Drosophila melanogaster: one gene and its partners. Changing the gene in region 3 together with the main gene of any one other region gives a genetic interaction. Each region holds a gene or a part of one and is shown on either strand. Other genes may lie near its edges.

Region 1 (6,957 bases), 2.9 Mb from region 3:
TCGAACACTTATTGGCGTTTTCCCCAAGGATCGGGCATGCAAGTGGGCCGAGGGGGATGTGTACCTGCTGTAACGCGGCGACTTACAAAGGGCATTCCCCAAATGCCACATTGGGCACAGATCAAAGATCACCGCGTCACCCGAAACAGGAGCAACTTATTCCCCATCAATTGAGTACGTGCAGAAATTCATCTATAAAATCAGGTTTACGAACAGGCCCCCGAAAAAATATTTGGAGCGCTTTGGACAATTTGTATCAAAATGTGGTACTTCAAAGGAGGAGGCTGTGTCCTTGATACTAAGGAATTTCTCAGCTGCTCAAGGGGTTGATCGTAATAATGAGATATTTAACCCACCCGATGTAAAAACTTTTTGAATTAATAATACATACCAAAAATATATACATATGTATTAATCATATCATGTGTATTTTCTGATATGCCTGAGGATTTTGTATAAAGGAATCAATCAATCATTCTAGATATTTTATCCTTAAAAAAACCCATATATTTTGTTTGTTCTCTTTTAGCTTTCAACTTTATTTTCCAAAAATCATATACGCTCCTAATAAATATAATTACAATAAGTCATTGGGCTTATTACAAAATAAGAATAAACTAAAAATTCGCATAGATCGTATAAATAAATGTGGGTGATGCCATCAATAAACTTAAATAAATTAGGAAACTAAATTTAGACAAGTGGTCGCCAAGTGGTAGTTCATTTGTTTGAGGTTGTTCTTTGGTACGTTTAGCTGCCAATTTTGGGTTAAGTTTGAATCAAATCAAAAACGCTTTATGCAATAAATTAGATTAATCATTAAGCTAGGGTTTAACGGCTATAAAAAAGAGTCTTGTTTGGGATAACTATGTACAGACTTAAGGCAGTATCTTAGCTAATATGTTTTAACAATAATTCTTACGATTAGGTAAATCTTTGCGAAGGCCTAAACAAAACAAACTTTGGCTTCATAGCAACGACTTAGACTTAGGGCCAACTGTGATCTGCTCCACCTTCATCATCATCATCATCATCATCATCATCTGGTTTTGAGTGTGTGTCTCGTCCTGCTTAGCTAATACTGGGATCTCCTGGATCAGAGATTGCCGCCTAGCCTCGGTCAGCAGCTGCTGCTGCTCACCTCCATCTTCAGGGGCTTCAGGTCCTCCACTGGCGGAGCCTCCTCATGGCGGCTCTCTCGATGACGTCGCAGATCCACCTTGCGCTGGAAGGACTGATCGCAAAGGTGGCAACCGAAGGGTTTATACCCCGTGTGCTTCCTCATATGCGTGATCAGGTTGGAGCTCTGGCTGAAGGCCTTCAGGCACACGGTGCACTTGTGTGGCTTCTCGCCTGGAATCGCAGGAAAATCAATAAACACAATTAGTTAAATGCCGCTTCAAAGTTTATTAATTGTGGCCGAGAGGCGGCGGCAGCTTTACAGCAATTAGACAAATTGAAAGGCGATAGGGATCTGTGTGTGTGCTCAAGGGTGGCTCTGTTTGCACCACGTTCTGACACATTTGCCGAGGAATAGTTGGATACTCTCCCCATGGACTAGCTTTGATTTCACCGAATATTCAACTTACCGGTATGTATGTACGTGTGCTTTTTCATGTCCGACTTTTGGTGGAACCGCTTGCCACAATATTGGCAGGGATATGGCCGTGTATCGCTGTGGATGAGCAGATGTGTGGACAGGGTGGACGAACGCTTGAAGCTCTTGCCACACTGTTTGCACTAAAAAGAAAGACATAGACAATAGAAAAATACATTATTAACACCACATTCAGACAGAACGAGTCATGATTATTGGAACTCAGAATACCCCATATTTGCACAGCTTGAGCATATTCACACCAAAAAGCCAAATAATCAAAAAATCAGAAAAGAATTTATATATAAATTCACCGTTTTTGTGTGCCTGAGCCAAATTCGCAGTGGCAACATGAATTAAACTAGATTTGTGAGTGCTCAAATATTTGTTAGACAAGTGACGACAAGGGAAAACCCAAACCAAGCCAAACTTGGTTAGCCCACATCCAGGCGACAAATAATCTAGAACCTTAGCCATTTCTCAGCGCTGAAACCAGCTAGGTAAATATCTCGGCCCAATGCTAAATCTCAAGTGAGACACTTTCCAGGGAGCTTTAGCCATGCATATATGTACATACATTGTATATACCGCAGTATTTGTGGGCCAAACACAGCTGGGATCCACGGGGAATCGATCGCGGGGATTGGACGAATCCAGTGGCTGTAACATCTTCGGTTGTCAGATTAAATGTTTGAACAGTTTGCCAGTTGCAGCAACGTTGCAAGTAACCAAACATTGACATAACACAACTCAAATCGTCGGCCTACGTGGGCGACATTTATATTAAACACGAAAACATGAAAACAACGAAAAGTAAAACACAGAAATGGGTGAAAAAAATGTGAGACAATTTTTTTTTTGAAAAACCCGCATGGTCTACGCGTAATTGTAAATTGACACAAGTGTCGGTTTTTTAAAATTTCTTTCTTATTGATTTTTATGTTCTCTTATTTTTTTATTTTTTACGTTTTTTTTTAGCCTTGTTTTTGGGATTTTCTATTTGCGCATTGCATTCGCGTGGACCATATCCACTACACACATTGGCTAGACTCAGACCCAATTAGTTGCTCTATTGTTAAGCTGCGCTCAACTGCCTGAGCCATAATGTCAATTTGCTTAGCTCTGACAACGGAACGGAAGTTGGCAAAGCTCGAAAGGCAAAAAAAAAAAGAAAAAACGAGCAGGGAAACAAAAAAAGAGTTAAGGAGAAACCCCAAAGTCTGAGTCAGCCGGGTGGGCCTCCAATGGTGAACAGATGTAAAGCACGAATTACAGAAAAAATTCGATTTTATACATAAACAGCTGAAGAACAGTGACTGCGCCTGCGCAAAGGACTCTGGCAACTGTCTTCGTCGGCTTTTTGACCATATGTCGGTCCGGTACTGAAGCCCGAAAACCTATCGCATTTCACTCTGACCCTTTAATGTGTGAAAAAAAAACTGGAAAAAGATGTTAAAAAAAAAAAAAATAAGGACTCGCGGCGGGTGTTGATGGATATAAACGCAATATGACATCGGGGTAGGCATAAGGCCTATTAGGGTAAGTCGTCTCAAATTCCTGAGGGTCGTGTGCCCTCTTACCTTTTGCACAATCCAATATCGAATTATTATGATTGTAATTTGTACATAAATCTTCGAGGGCGAGTTATGCCCCCCACCGCACTGGCGCTAATCAAAATTATTTGATTAACTAATTGCGTGATTTCGATGGGACTTAATTGAATTTCCATAGAGCTCTATCGGTTTGGCTTGTATTACCAACTTTATGACAGTATTTGCTGTGCCACTTTTCCAAATTGAAAGTGGTATTGGTGGGGTTTTCGGCTCGGCGACAATTAAAACCCGCACGGACAAAATATGAAACAATTAACACAGGGGAATTGTCGAGGACACGCAACCTTATGCAATGATACGAACAGTATTCGTTTTGGGTTATAGATCATGGTCCTTCAGGACACGTGATAAGCCCATTAAAGCGGGCTGGGGGCTCAGAGATTTTCAAGCGATTTGCCCTCGATTTCCTCTTCATATTTCCCTACCCCTCGACGCGTTTATCCTGTTTGAGTTTGCTTACCTGGAAATTCCTGCCGCTGCGCTTCTCTTCGTTTTCTCCTTGGTAAGATGACGAGGAGGACGAACGACGCGCAACATCTGTGGCCGTCGAGTCAGGATGTTGCTGCTGATGCTGATGTTGCTGCGGCTGCTGCTGGTGATGCAACTGTTGTTGCTGCTGCTGCTGCGGCTGTTGGTGTTGATTACGCATGTAGCCGAATTCGGCGGCTGCCACCAAATTCATGAGTGCCGCTGCCGAGCGGTTATCCTGCTGCTGCTCGTCCTTGATGCGATGCTGTTGCTGCTGCTGCTGCGGCTGCTCGCTCTTCAGCTTCAAGTGCTGGGTGAGCAGCTCCAGATTGTTGCCCGTCAATCCGGCCATGAATGCGCTGCGATGGGCATACAACTGCTGTTGGGCCACCTCGAACTCCAGATCCTGGACGGCATTCGAGGCGGGAGCGGACAGCGAGGAGATCGGCGATTGCAGCGAGGATATGGATGCAGTTCTGCGCTCATACTTGAACTTTCGCACAATAGGATCCACCTGGTGCTCCTCCTCATCGCCCTGCTCCTCCATCTTCAGGCCGTACTGCTCCCTTCTCGCCGATCTCTCGCACATCGAGGCCGGTGACCAGATGATGTTACCCTGCGATCTCTGGCGCTGTTGCTGTGGTGTACTCGAACTCTTTAGATTCACAGCGCTCAGGGGAGGCGGGGTAACGTTCAGCGAGGTCATCGGATGCAGTTGCTCCACTTCACTGCTGGAACTGCTCCTGCTGCTGTTGTTGCTGCTGCTGTGATACTGATCTCGGTTGGAATCATCCGATGTGATGCGCTCCTTGGTGCTTAGATTTAGTGGCATATCCTCATCCTGCTCCTGATAGTCCTGCTTGCTGTTCTCATTGTTATTGTTCATTTGGAGTTCATGCTCCTTTTCGGGCGTCAAGGCAAAGTCACGATCCCGCTGACCCAAAACCACAGAGGCGGGCGATTTGGGGGTCATGGGGGTCAGTGGTGTACCCAGAGCCGTGGCCGAGGACAACAAAAATTGGGGCCACAGTAGGGCACTCGAGTAGAGCAGCGGGTTGTACAAAAAGGGCAGATCTATGAAATGCAAATTTAACGAATCAGTTGAATAGTAGTGATTAAGATTAGGAAGGAAAAGTATCCTCAGGATGCCTATCAATATAAAGTTACTCTTGTATTGGTAAGAACTACAGTAAAGTTAACATAATTTTTCTGATCTGTTGAAAGTGTTAACATTTTGATTTTAAATCGAGTGATCTTTTAAATACAATTCGAAACGATTAAAAAGCTATAAGCTAATCTTTTTGCTATCTTTACTGCCCCATATATTTTTCTGTCAATCCAGATCGGGAACTCACCTCGACCATTGAGTTTCTGTGCTGCGGCGGAGGCTATCACAGTGTTGAAGGCGGATGCCCGCTGCATCCACTGCTTGTCCAGAGCTGCTCCATGGCAGCCCAATCCCGCGGGACTCGGCTGCTGGGAGTGCGGCGATGGCGGCGGCGATAGGTGATTCATTTTGATTCTGGATCTTTACTTTTTGGAATCTCACTGGATCTGATTTACGTATTTGCTTTAACAGTCTTTGGATTGTGATTTTTCTCAATACTGTTCACTGCACAAATCTCACTTTCTTGGCGTTGTGATCTTGGATTCGAACGGATCTTCGATGGGTCTTATTCAGTGCGGTTTTATCTTGACTCACTGGAGACGAACACGTCCGTATCGCTCGGTGCTTCGCACCTGACTGAATCTTTGGTCGATGGCTCAGTTCTAAATTGAGCCAACGGTGAAGCGACTTGGCCCGAAAAAAAGGTACAAATCGAGCTCTCTTTTTTTTATTTTTGTGTGCGACTGTGGTTACTTGTGGCACTGTGTGAGTGCGGCAGCAAGCCGAATCAAAACGAGCCCTCGGTGTATTGGTGTTGACTCTTTTGGTGGTGGCTCTCGAGAGCCCTGCAATGTATTGTTGGTGTTGGTGTTCGTGTTGCCAACTCTGGTTTTTCACCTTTGGCAGCAGTTGGCGGCAGTTGCAGTCCTGTGTTCCATGTTGTATGGGTCAAGACGCACAGTTAGGAGTCCCCTGGCGATCTCGATACCCCAACCCCCTGCGTTCGTATCCTCTTGGCCCATCTACTACTGGTTTTCCAGCACGCGTTTCCCTACTAATTGGTATGCACTTAAAGTTTGGCGGGCGTTTGTTATCCTTTTCCCGCTGCCCTGTAACAGTTACAATTGCCTTTGCTCTTTCTGTTGCTGCCACCAACTGTTGTTGGCTCAGGAATATCGGGATCGGTACTTTGGCCAAGGGAGAAGAAGCGAGAGAGGGCCAGCAATCGGCAGAGGATTTCACTGCTGATCGGTGGAAGGGGGGAGAGGACGAGGGCGGGATGGGGCGGGGTAGCATACAAATATTTAGGTGGATGAATCCAAGGATCTAACATCTGTCGTGGCAACTCTCCATGTTTGTAGATACTGTTTAGATTACCTTTAGATTTGACAAGGATTACAAATGGGTTCCTAATTTTGAATGTGATGAAAATTAATTTTTGTATTAATTATTAAAAATACATTGCGAGTAAAATATAGGAGAAATTAAGTTTAAATTCATTTTTATTTGCGCTTCTCCCAATAAGGGTAAATAGTTTAAAGCAACATCGTGAATTTAATCTTTAAGCTTTAGACTTCATCCATAAAAAGTGTTATTACATTTTAGAGGATTGACGTAAACCTACTTCACAACCAATGCACAAATATATAAACTTTATTTAAATTATTGTAGAATTTTTTTTGTTATATTTCTATATAAAATCTACCTTACCAAAATGACATATTTGATTATAATAATGTTACATTTAAATACATAAGATTAGGACAGATTTTATTTAATAGCTATCAAAATATCAGATTTCCCATTTAAAACCGTTTTAACAAATAGTTTGGTTTGGTTTCAGAACATTAACTTTCAACAAAGTTTTTGTTAAATTTCTCAATGCAAACTTTGCAGTTCGTCGTATTTTCCTAAAGCATTTCAATAAAATTAAAAGACTGAATTCTTTTGTCAGTCAATTTAAAACCAATACCAAACTCTAAGCCATAAAGTCCCCATCTTCTCGTTGGATCGTAGCTATTAAACCACTCAGATAGGACGACTGAGCACCTGCCACTTTCTCCCTCTACCGCTCGATGCACCTTTTTCCGAGCTTATCCTTGATGAGAGTTCGGGGTCCTCCTCCTGAGTTGGTAGCTCGCCACGCTTGGCCACCTCGTCTTGGCCGCCTC
Region 2 (4,690 bases), on a different chromosome or scaffold from region 3:
ATTCCTGCACTGCAGAGTTGGTTATCTTCTCCACCACAGGACCCGTCATTCCCAGTGCATTACCCGGCGTCACCACGAACTTCAAATGGTAACCAATATCCTCAGGAGTCACTAGATATTGAAATCCTTCTCCGCACACCTCCCAATCGGTGTCTGTGGGCTTTTTGGCCTTGAACCAAACTGCTTTGCTGAACTGACGTTCTCCGAATTGTATCTGAACATTGGTGGGGTATATTACAAATCCTGCCAATATGCATGAGGGCAAAAATTTTAGGGATGAAATCCACGGTGGATTGAACACCAAATCGTAGACCGTATCTAATACCTGCAGTTTTACATTGCTGATATCTTGGGTGACGACTAGATCCTCAAATGTTAATTCATTGAATTTTTCACCATATTTGTCACTCAGAAGTTTAACATTGATTTCTGCCGGCGGTTTGATTTTTGATTTTTTGCAGGACTTTGCAAGCCTGCCAATAATATTACTCTGAATCCTGGCCAATATCGCATCAATGGGCTCATTCATCTGGCGACGGAAATTGAATTCCCGGTTTATTTTCAAATTCTCATTCACAAAGCGAAACACAATGTCCAATTCTTTGGTATCACTTGCATTTCTCAAATAAACCTTCTCCATTTTACCAGCCAAGGAAGTGCCACAAAATCTGGACAATAGCGAAACTCTAGTTGGAGTTTTATTTCCGAATAATTTATCAGAATTGCGAACTATGTTTTTAAACAAAAAAAACCCCATCAATGTTGCAAATGTTGGAGCGAAGATCGGCGTTGAAGAAGAGAACTTCTCTTAGTTGACTTGTTTTTCGCCGTTTTATCTGGGAAAATTTTGGGTTAGACAACTTTACTTGGTGCACCGATGTCGTAACAACTCACTTGTCCAGATTTAGTTGCAAAATTAATCACATTTAAGTTGTTTTACACCTATTTACAATCGGCAAACAGTCGTGTTGCACGAAAACACCGCAGAAATTAGGCGAAACTGCGCCGATTTCGATAAAAACGAAGAGAGATTTTTACTTTTTCGCTCTGCCACGCCGCGCGATCAGCTGTTGTTTTTGGCATTCACAACGAAACCAACCACATGCTCGGCATTGAGAAACAGCTGATCTTGAGAGAGCTTCTGCCATTAGCAACGTTGAAGCTTTGACGCAAAAGCTTTTAATAAAAGCTTTATTTAATTTCAAATCTTGAAAGCAAAAAGATTTCACTTAAATATTACTTTTTTTCATAAAATTATAAAGCTGATAAATATATGAAGAGTTGCTATGATCTGAAATTGAACATATCGAAGAATAGAAGATTTTTTCTATGAAATAGAAAAAAAATTTCTATATAGGAAACGTTTATTCCTTTTTTGTGGTCATTAGGAGGAACATTATTATTCGCAAAATATACACCCGAACAAAACTATAAAACCTCCTATTTCACTTCAGTTGAAAACTATTTTCACGGCAAACGTCGTAAACATTAAGCTAAGTGTTACGATCCAAATGAGACATCTTGCCCCAACGAAGGAAACTCAACTTTCGGCCAAGTTAAGAAAGGACAACTGAGACGACGGCCATAAAAATTCGAAACAGAAGCCAGATCATATGTGTAGAGCGTATTTGGCAAAGGGGTGGACCAAAGGTATGGAGCACACAAGTGCATAAAACGCCGAAACAAGCCAAGAGATGACTTGGCCAGGCCAAAAAGGAATTGGCTTGGCCCCGAAACAGAGTCAACAACTGTGCGCCACACAAGAGTTTGCCAAAAAGATTGCACTACGAAGGAGCAAATGAAAAAATAAAAATCAAAAACAAGAGAAAAATCGCATAGAACTCTATAAAGGACACAGAGGACCAAAAAGGACAACAACCTGACTGGCAGGGCAAACGAAACCAGTTGAAGAAATGTTGCTGACACCAAAAACGAAACTGCAGGAAGACGCCGATGATGAGGATGAGCCAGGGAATGAGGCTAAGCCCGAGGATGCAGAGAGCATCCTTGGGCCCGAGATGTGGAGCAGAGGCGGTAAGGACAACAACGAAATTAGTTAGCACTTGAGAGAAAGCAGCTTTGGCTCAGTTCCAGGACTCGTTGCTGGCTTACAACACCTGCGGGAAAAAGAAGAGGACTTTTAGCTGCTCCTTCTGTTCCCTACTCCTTTCCTATTGACCCGAACCAGAGATGGCCAAAAAGCTTCGATTAGACACAGTGGATGGAACAAGGACTAGAAACTAACTATAAGTCATTTAAGAGTTTTACATATTGAACATTTTTTAAGCAATATTATATACACTTTTCAAAAATTTACCAGCATTTATATTGAAATTAAGTATAGATGATTATATTCGATAGTATATTTCTGAGATATAAAGATTAAAATCCACCAAAAATCAGCAAAATAGTTAGCTCATCTTCGACAGAAGTGGTGAAAAGCAAGTTCTTGGAGGCAGGCGGCAGCAATTAAATAGCTTCGAGCACTCCGAACTCAATTGCAGCAATTTCAATAACCGTCGAGGACACTCAAAGGACGGCAAGGTCCTTGCGATAATCTGTCATGCAGCGTGGAAGCCCAAGCACCGTGTCGCACACACCCACTCACACACACACAGCACACAGGACGAGTTCACAGCACACCAACCCACTTTCCATTCACACTCAAGGACAACTAGAATATCCGCTTTTGGTCTGAACACTTGAAGAACTTTCTTGCACTCACCTATTTCACTTGCTGCGGGAATTTGCTATATTTCTTCTTATTTTCCTTTTTACACTTGTAGAATTTGTAGCCGAAAGCGGATAACTGGGCTATTTCATTTGTAGTCTTGTGGGGGTAAATACTTTGTATATTTTTTTGTAGATTTTCTTCTTAAGAATTATTGATAAAAGCATGGAAGAGTGACGCGGTACGGCCGAAAGGTTAACACATTGAGAATTTTGCCACCAATAAGCCGAAAAATTGATAAACTTTTATAAAATTATATGTACGTTACACAATCTGATTTGGAAACACTACAACTAAAAATCTATATTGAATCGATTTGACAAGCGTTAGCGCAGCCAACTGGGATGCAAAGCTCTCGCTGTTCATTTTTTATTTTTTATGAACTTTGCTAAAATAAAACTAAATTAAATTTAAAAAAAAGCAAATGAATTGGATACCATAATTGATTGCTATCACTGATTCATATCAGTCGTTCAGCTCACCAAGTCGAACGTTTGACATTAGCAATAAATGAATCAACAAATATAAAAGTTTTGCCAAGAAAGTAATTTGCTAAAATTGGCGAGTCGAGAAAGAAAGTCAAGAGGGTGAGTGGAAAAAAAACCGAAAGAAATTCAATGAGGCTGAAAATTTCCTGGCTCGATGCCAATTGAAGGCAAAGAAAGAAAACAAAACTCGAGTTTCTAATCAATTAAAAAATACAACGAGCGGCGGCAGGGGCAAATCAAGAGTAGAGGGTACGATTTTCGGCAATAAATAAATTACAACCAGCATGCAGTCAAAGCGATTAAATTGAAGGGGAGGCTTCCAGGACTATCTGATGCCGAAGAAAGTACAAAACTTCACTACGTCTGGTGCAATTTTAATTACGACTGCGATAGGAGCAGGTCGAAAGTAATGGCAAGGAGCAAAGACACCAGTCACGAGATACACAAACTCGTTGCGACTGCGAGAATACCCCGTATCTTATTGTGTTGTTTATAGAAAATGTAGGAAGCTACTTTTTGATGATTACATGGAGTCTTTCTTTCAAATTTGCATGAATATTTCGAAGAATATTTACATGAATTGTTTGAAATCATTGCTATATGGTTGTAGATTTAAAATTTCCAAAATAAATACTACTATAAACGTTAACAAATTTTATAAAGATTATGTTACTTATATATTATTATATTATATATTTTCTCCTCATATTTCAATTTCCAAAACCCTAATATGATAATATCCCTAATATCCTAATATATCCCTAACTTAAAACTTCTTTATAGTACCATTTACAAATGAATTAAATTTTAAATCGATTTCAAAAAGGCTTTTCTTGAAATGTCCTTTTGTCATTAATCAAAAAAAAATCTCTCAGTTGCAAATTTCTTTATCGTAAATGCAACATGATATTAAAAAAAATTAAAAATTAAAAAAAAAAATTGGTAACCCATATTTGATCCAAATTACTCCATGTGTAATATATCCTTAGCGCAACTTTTACAGGGTATAGCAGGGCGAAAGGCGCCGAGTCGACTAATCCTTTGGCAAAGTCTTTGACAGTTGTCTTAGATTGCACAACAACAAAGAGGAGAAACACAATAACATCTTCATTATTATCATTATCATTGTTTCCAGCACTGTGGGATGAAAAAGTACAATAAACGAATAAGTACAATAAATAAGCAAACGAAGAAACAACAAACATTATCGCACATCATTATCGTTGTCATTCAGAGAGCGTCGTTCCAGCTTAAAAAAGCCAGCCCAACAAATATATGTATATATATATATACCTATATATATTTGCTTTATTTTGGTGTTTAGTTAGTTTTTATGAGCGTCATTATTTTCGCTTGCCATGGCGCTAAGCATCTTAAGTGGCTCCTGCTCCCGCATTTCCCTCCTATTTTTTAGTGGAGCACTTTCCTCGTGTATTTGTTTTCATAGGCGCAAAATGTCTTCGTCAACTTT
Region 3 (4,925 bases):
AAGACAAATTATTTGCAAGGATATGAAAAGGGGTTACAAAATGGAAGGAATAAAATACTTTTCATTTCAAATAATAATTAAATAAATCAATATTCAATAATATAAGTATATACTGCTTGGCAATTTCATTTAAAAAGGCTAGTTTCAAAATGAGTTGAGTAATAAAAAAAAGGAAAGCATTAGATCTCTGCATACTGCAATGCACATTTTTGTACATATAAACTGTGACAGAAATACCCACAAATTACATGCTCATAGAATCTCGGAAACATATCGTGCACATAAATTCCTACTCTATTTTATTGAAATTCTGTGAGGAACGTATGTGCAATCTCTTCTCATTTTTTTTCTGTTGAATAAGCATGAAAAATATCATGTTGCATATTGTCCGAAATATAGTTTAGAAGTCTTGTGCAAAAATGCGATGTCGCAAGTAAGCATAAAAAAAAATATCAGGCACAGCACCCATCTGCCACCCAAAAATGTGGATCTGCTCATGTAAATAACTGCAAATGGAGCTGTGGAAAAATATTGTAGTTGACAATAGAGTTTTTCATTGGTTGGCTAAACAAGTCAAGGTTCGGAGTTTTTTAAGTAATTGCTGCTTATACAAATTTACGGTGCAAGTTTTCCCTTTGTTAGACGAGATAAATGGGGGTGGCATATTTACGCCCCATGATTTATGGCGCTCATTTTTCGAGGACATTATAAAAAAATAAAAACTTTTTGGTGGGTCAAAGTGAAGAGAAGTCAAACAAAGATAAGCGAACCAAACTTTGATTTTGTGTGCCATTTGTTTATTGTTCTCAATTGTTGTTACATTTTGACTGCGACACAGGTGGTATATTTGATCGTTTTCATGTCCTTATATTTTCAAAAGGGCCATTTTGAGCTACTTTTGTAGCGTTGATAAATGAGAGCCATCTTCACATGTCACGAAAGTTTTAAGTTTTTTAAAACTTTTTAGTATTAAAATCCCCTATTTTTCTAAGCCCGATATATACAATAGGTATCCTTTTTTGCGAACCAACGTTGATATTTTCAAAGACATCCTTGTTGCATAAACAGGACCGTGGACCGTGAAGTATTTAGCATACAACCAAAATGTGGAGTCTCATTTTTCGCTCGCATATTTTCGCCCACAGCTTTTATCCTGCAGATGACGGAAGTCTCAAAGTGACAGACAATTTTAGCCTTAACAAGAATAACAGCAGCACGCTGAAGTGATGGAAACTCTAGCCACATGTGCGCAAATATTTTTTCCTGCTTCTGGCTTCTACCGTCAGTGCCTTCCAGCCTCAGTCAGCATAATAATGAATTACATACGGTGGAGATTCTTGTGCCGGGAATCCGGCAATCCTAGCCGTCATCAACATCGGGCAACAACTACCTATGGAAACAGTCTGAGCCACTCGCTTAGCTTCCTTGCCACGCTTTGTTGGCTGCAGCAATTTTACAATTGACTGTTTCTGCTGTTTCTAAATGGGGGAAACTCCCCGTTTTGCAGTGGAAACCCCCTTTGTTTAACGGGGAAACGGGATGGCGAAATGGGTGAGTTTGTAAAACGCTTGACTTGTTTTACGCATTATTTACTTAGTTGGGATGCTAGCTACCTCTTGCTCCACATGTACATGCACGTGTTTGTATAAGCTCACGCAGGAAAAACTGTTGTCACAACTTCGATTTTGTTATTTAAAGTAAAGTTTAAAGTTATTTAAAGTAAAGGCTCAAAGTCACTAAAAAGAAGTCTTAAATTAAGCAATAGAAAATATAAGCATACATTTTGGCTTAAAAACTATAACTATCGATGCAGAACCCATTTCTCTCAGTGTTGCTGTGCGTGTATACCCTTTTAGTTGTCTTTGTGCGTCCATTCCGTGGGGGATAGGGGCGTGGCAAATGAACTAGTATAAAAGTAAGTTTGCGGCAAGCAGCAAAACGTTTGGTTACAATTAATTTCGTACTCTGCGCTGGGTAATAAGGGGATATATGCACAGATACAGGGTATGTGAGTGCCATAAAAGGGGGGAGATTGTGATGCCCGGTGGGGGGGGGGGTGGCCCCTTAATGTGAGCAATTTGAAATGAAAATCGGCCCCGGAGTCCTGTTGCTGTAAAAGTATTTTTGCGGGCATTTCTACCATTATTTGCATCTCCAGCTGAAAATAAATGAAGGGTAAACGCAAATCGAAATTCCCTGCCAGACCATCAACAATGGAAGTCGGGCAAATAACAAATGGAAAAATTACACGAATATCAAATCAAAATTATCTTTACGTAGCGGGAGATGTTTTAATGCGGGACATAAAGCAAAAATGGGCAATAAAAATGTTTTAAATGCGTTTGGGAAATGGGCAAATTCTCAAGATATCTCAGCGGAAGACTAGTCCAATAAAAGCTGTTCAAATGGGTAACTTAATGTGCTAAATGGGATACATTTTTATTTCTGTGATATTTAATAGCTAAGGCTTACTTGATCGACGTGCTCTTGTGAATCGTGAAAAAAGAATCCGTTTGCTGTCCGAATTACTTGTGGTAAACACACGAAACAAACACACGTTTTTGTGTTTTCTTTTTTTTTTTGCTTTTGGCACTAGATGCTAAATGACAGGCGGCTTATGCAACATTTATTTGATATTGTATTAAATATTTAACGCACGACACGACAAAACACTTTTGCCTCATTAATCTAACGCACACAAGAGCAGCGGGCAGAATGAGGAAAAGCTGCTAATTGAAGCCGGCAGCACAACGAAATACACAGTGCACACACAAAAAGCACACACAATCACAAAGGGACACTAAGCCTTTAGTCGTTGATTGATACGGATAGCCCAAGGAATTTGAGGTTTTTCCCACTGCGGGTAATGGGACTTGGGGTGGTTTTGAAAAATTTGTGACGTTTTTCCTGTTAACACGAGAATTTTACGCGACTTGCCAATGCGCGAGGCGAAAGCGATGAGCAAAATGTTTTCCGTCCTCACGTGAGCACTTGCAATGGGAGACTGAAATTTTGCGCAAAAGAGCCTGTAAGTATGCAGCAGCCTTTGCCGTATAACACTACAGTCAGTATAACAGTTTGATGCTTACTTGAGGGATGAGAAAAATGTATATTTTTGGTGAAAGAGCTCTTTAATGCCACCTGATAAAAGGTAACATTAAATTTGGTTTAATGCACAACGACCTACGGCATCATCAGCATAAACTTGGCCAACTATTTAACCACAAAAAATAAGCAGAAAAACAGAATAAATCTTATAAACATATGTGTTCAAGGCAGAAAACCATTTCCGCCAAATTGCCCAAGCCTAGTCGCACAATTTATTTTTATTTGAACCCCGAGAAGTTTATGGTTTCTTCTTTCCCCCGCCAAAATGCTGATTATTATGATTATTTACTCAGCCTATTTGTGTGTGGGCGTTTGGTTACATAATTAGGCCATTAAGTATAAGTGCCCAAGTCTCTGATTTCCACATTTCCACGGCCCAGCATCACAAATCGATCAGGCTGGCAAACAAATTCCGTTCGACAAAGAGAGGCAATTTTAAATGGAAACAGAAGGCTATAAGGAAAACGTATTTTCAGCAGCAACTTTTCTTTGGCGGAAAACGTAATTGAATTTTTATTGACATTCTAGCGGAAGTGGAGGTGAGGACAGCTGTCACTTGAGCGACGAAGTTGCCTGGAAATAAAGCGCAACTATTTTGTAGAAAATGACCAGGACAGTAAAGTGGAAGGACGAAAATCGGGAACGAAGAACGAAAGCAAAACCAAAAATCTAAAGAAATCAAAAGAAAAATATAAATTTCGGAAAATTAATTCCGTTTTTTAAGGCCGCTTTAAAAGGGGATTGAGCAAGGGATTGCCAAGAATAACCTAATTAGGGTTGACTTAAGGCAACCGATGGAAAATTTTCCGCAGATTAAGCTCGAAGAAAAAGCCCAACGAAAATATTTAAAAATAACAATTTAAAATTCAGCAGGAGAGAAAGAGAAAATGGAAAAGGGTTGATTTACATGAAAATTGTATTGAGTACTTTTTAAGACTTTTTTTTTGTAGTCATTTTTGTAAATTTGTTTACTTATACTTTGTAGATATTATGGCTTTACAAATGGCATTCAAACATTGTAATCCATTCTTAATGGCAAATAGATAAGTTTATAATTACAGATATAATTGCTTTTCTATATGGCGATCCAGTCCAAGTCCGCTTACCAATTAAAGTTCGACGTAGCCATTTGTCATGACTATCTGCATCATAATATGCCACTATTATCATTTACAGCCACCCGTTTTTGTCCAATCGCTTTTCTCATTACCAGGAGACACCCTCGTCTCTGGCCGGTCATTAAATTATTTTATATGGCACATTAAAAGTGAGCATAAACACACAAACTCTCACTGGCCCTTACTTTCTCTACTATACGAGTGTGTGTGTGTGTGTAGAGTAAGTGAAATGCATTTGCAGTGGGGGGGTGTGGTCATAAGCCAAAGGCTTATGTGGAAAAGTAAGAGAAAGGGGAGCGGCGTCTGTCCGAGTGGCATTTCCATCTGCGGCAGGTTCTATTTGCTATTATTATCATAGTCGGAGTGCTTGGGCGGTTATTATTGTTACCACTGAGTCTGCTCGTCGGCTTCTAAGCAATTATTTAAAGCACCGCAAGGACGGGAGAAATGCAGGGACAACTCTCCCTTTCTCTGTCCGCGGGGAAATGAAGGCAATGTCCAGTGTTGGCTGCAGAGATTTCAATTTAAAAACGAGGCCAAACTGCTGGGCGAAAAGCCAAGGGGGGGGGGGGCTTCGCACACGTGTGACCATACTTTTTTATGCCAGCACAGCAGGTTCTTCAAGCACTGTTTTAAATTACATAAATAAATTCTATTTTTAAACTAGCTGTATGCTATATTTATGTACAATATTTAGGT

What was found. Genes that interact genetically often act in the same process or in processes that back each other up.
Region 1: of Rbfox1 (region 3) and sens, changing one suppresses a phenotype caused by changing the other (phenotypic suppression), as found in Drosophila melanogaster (one study listed by BioGRID).
Region 2: of Rbfox1 (region 3) and bru1, changing one enhances a phenotype caused by changing the other (phenotypic enhancement), as found in Drosophila melanogaster (one study listed by BioGRID).

Annotation. Positions count from the first base shown.
Region 1 is NT_037436.4:13,395,715-13,402,671, forward strand, and holds sens (senseless), read right to left. Parts: upstream 5,412-6,957; 5' UTR 5,194-5,411; coding exon 5,034-5,193; intron 4,753-5,033; coding exon 3,671-4,752; intron 1,741-3,670; coding exon 1,590-1,740; intron 1,354-1,589; coding exon 1,121-1,353; 3' UTR 514-1,120; downstream 1-513.
Region 2 is NT_033779.5:12,204,166-12,208,855, reverse strand, and holds the start of bru1 (bruno 1), read right to left. Parts: upstream 3,014-4,690; 5' UTR 2,726-3,013; intron 1,148-2,725; exon of another isoform or gene 641-1,147; coding exon of another isoform or gene 1-640. Other genes in the region: CG31759 (uncharacterized protein), read right to left, coding at 1-640.
Region 3 is NT_037436.4:10,479,493-10,484,417, reverse strand, and holds the start of Rbfox1 (RNA-binding Fox protein 1), read right to left. Parts: upstream 3,007-4,925; 5' UTR 2,473-3,006; intron 1-2,472.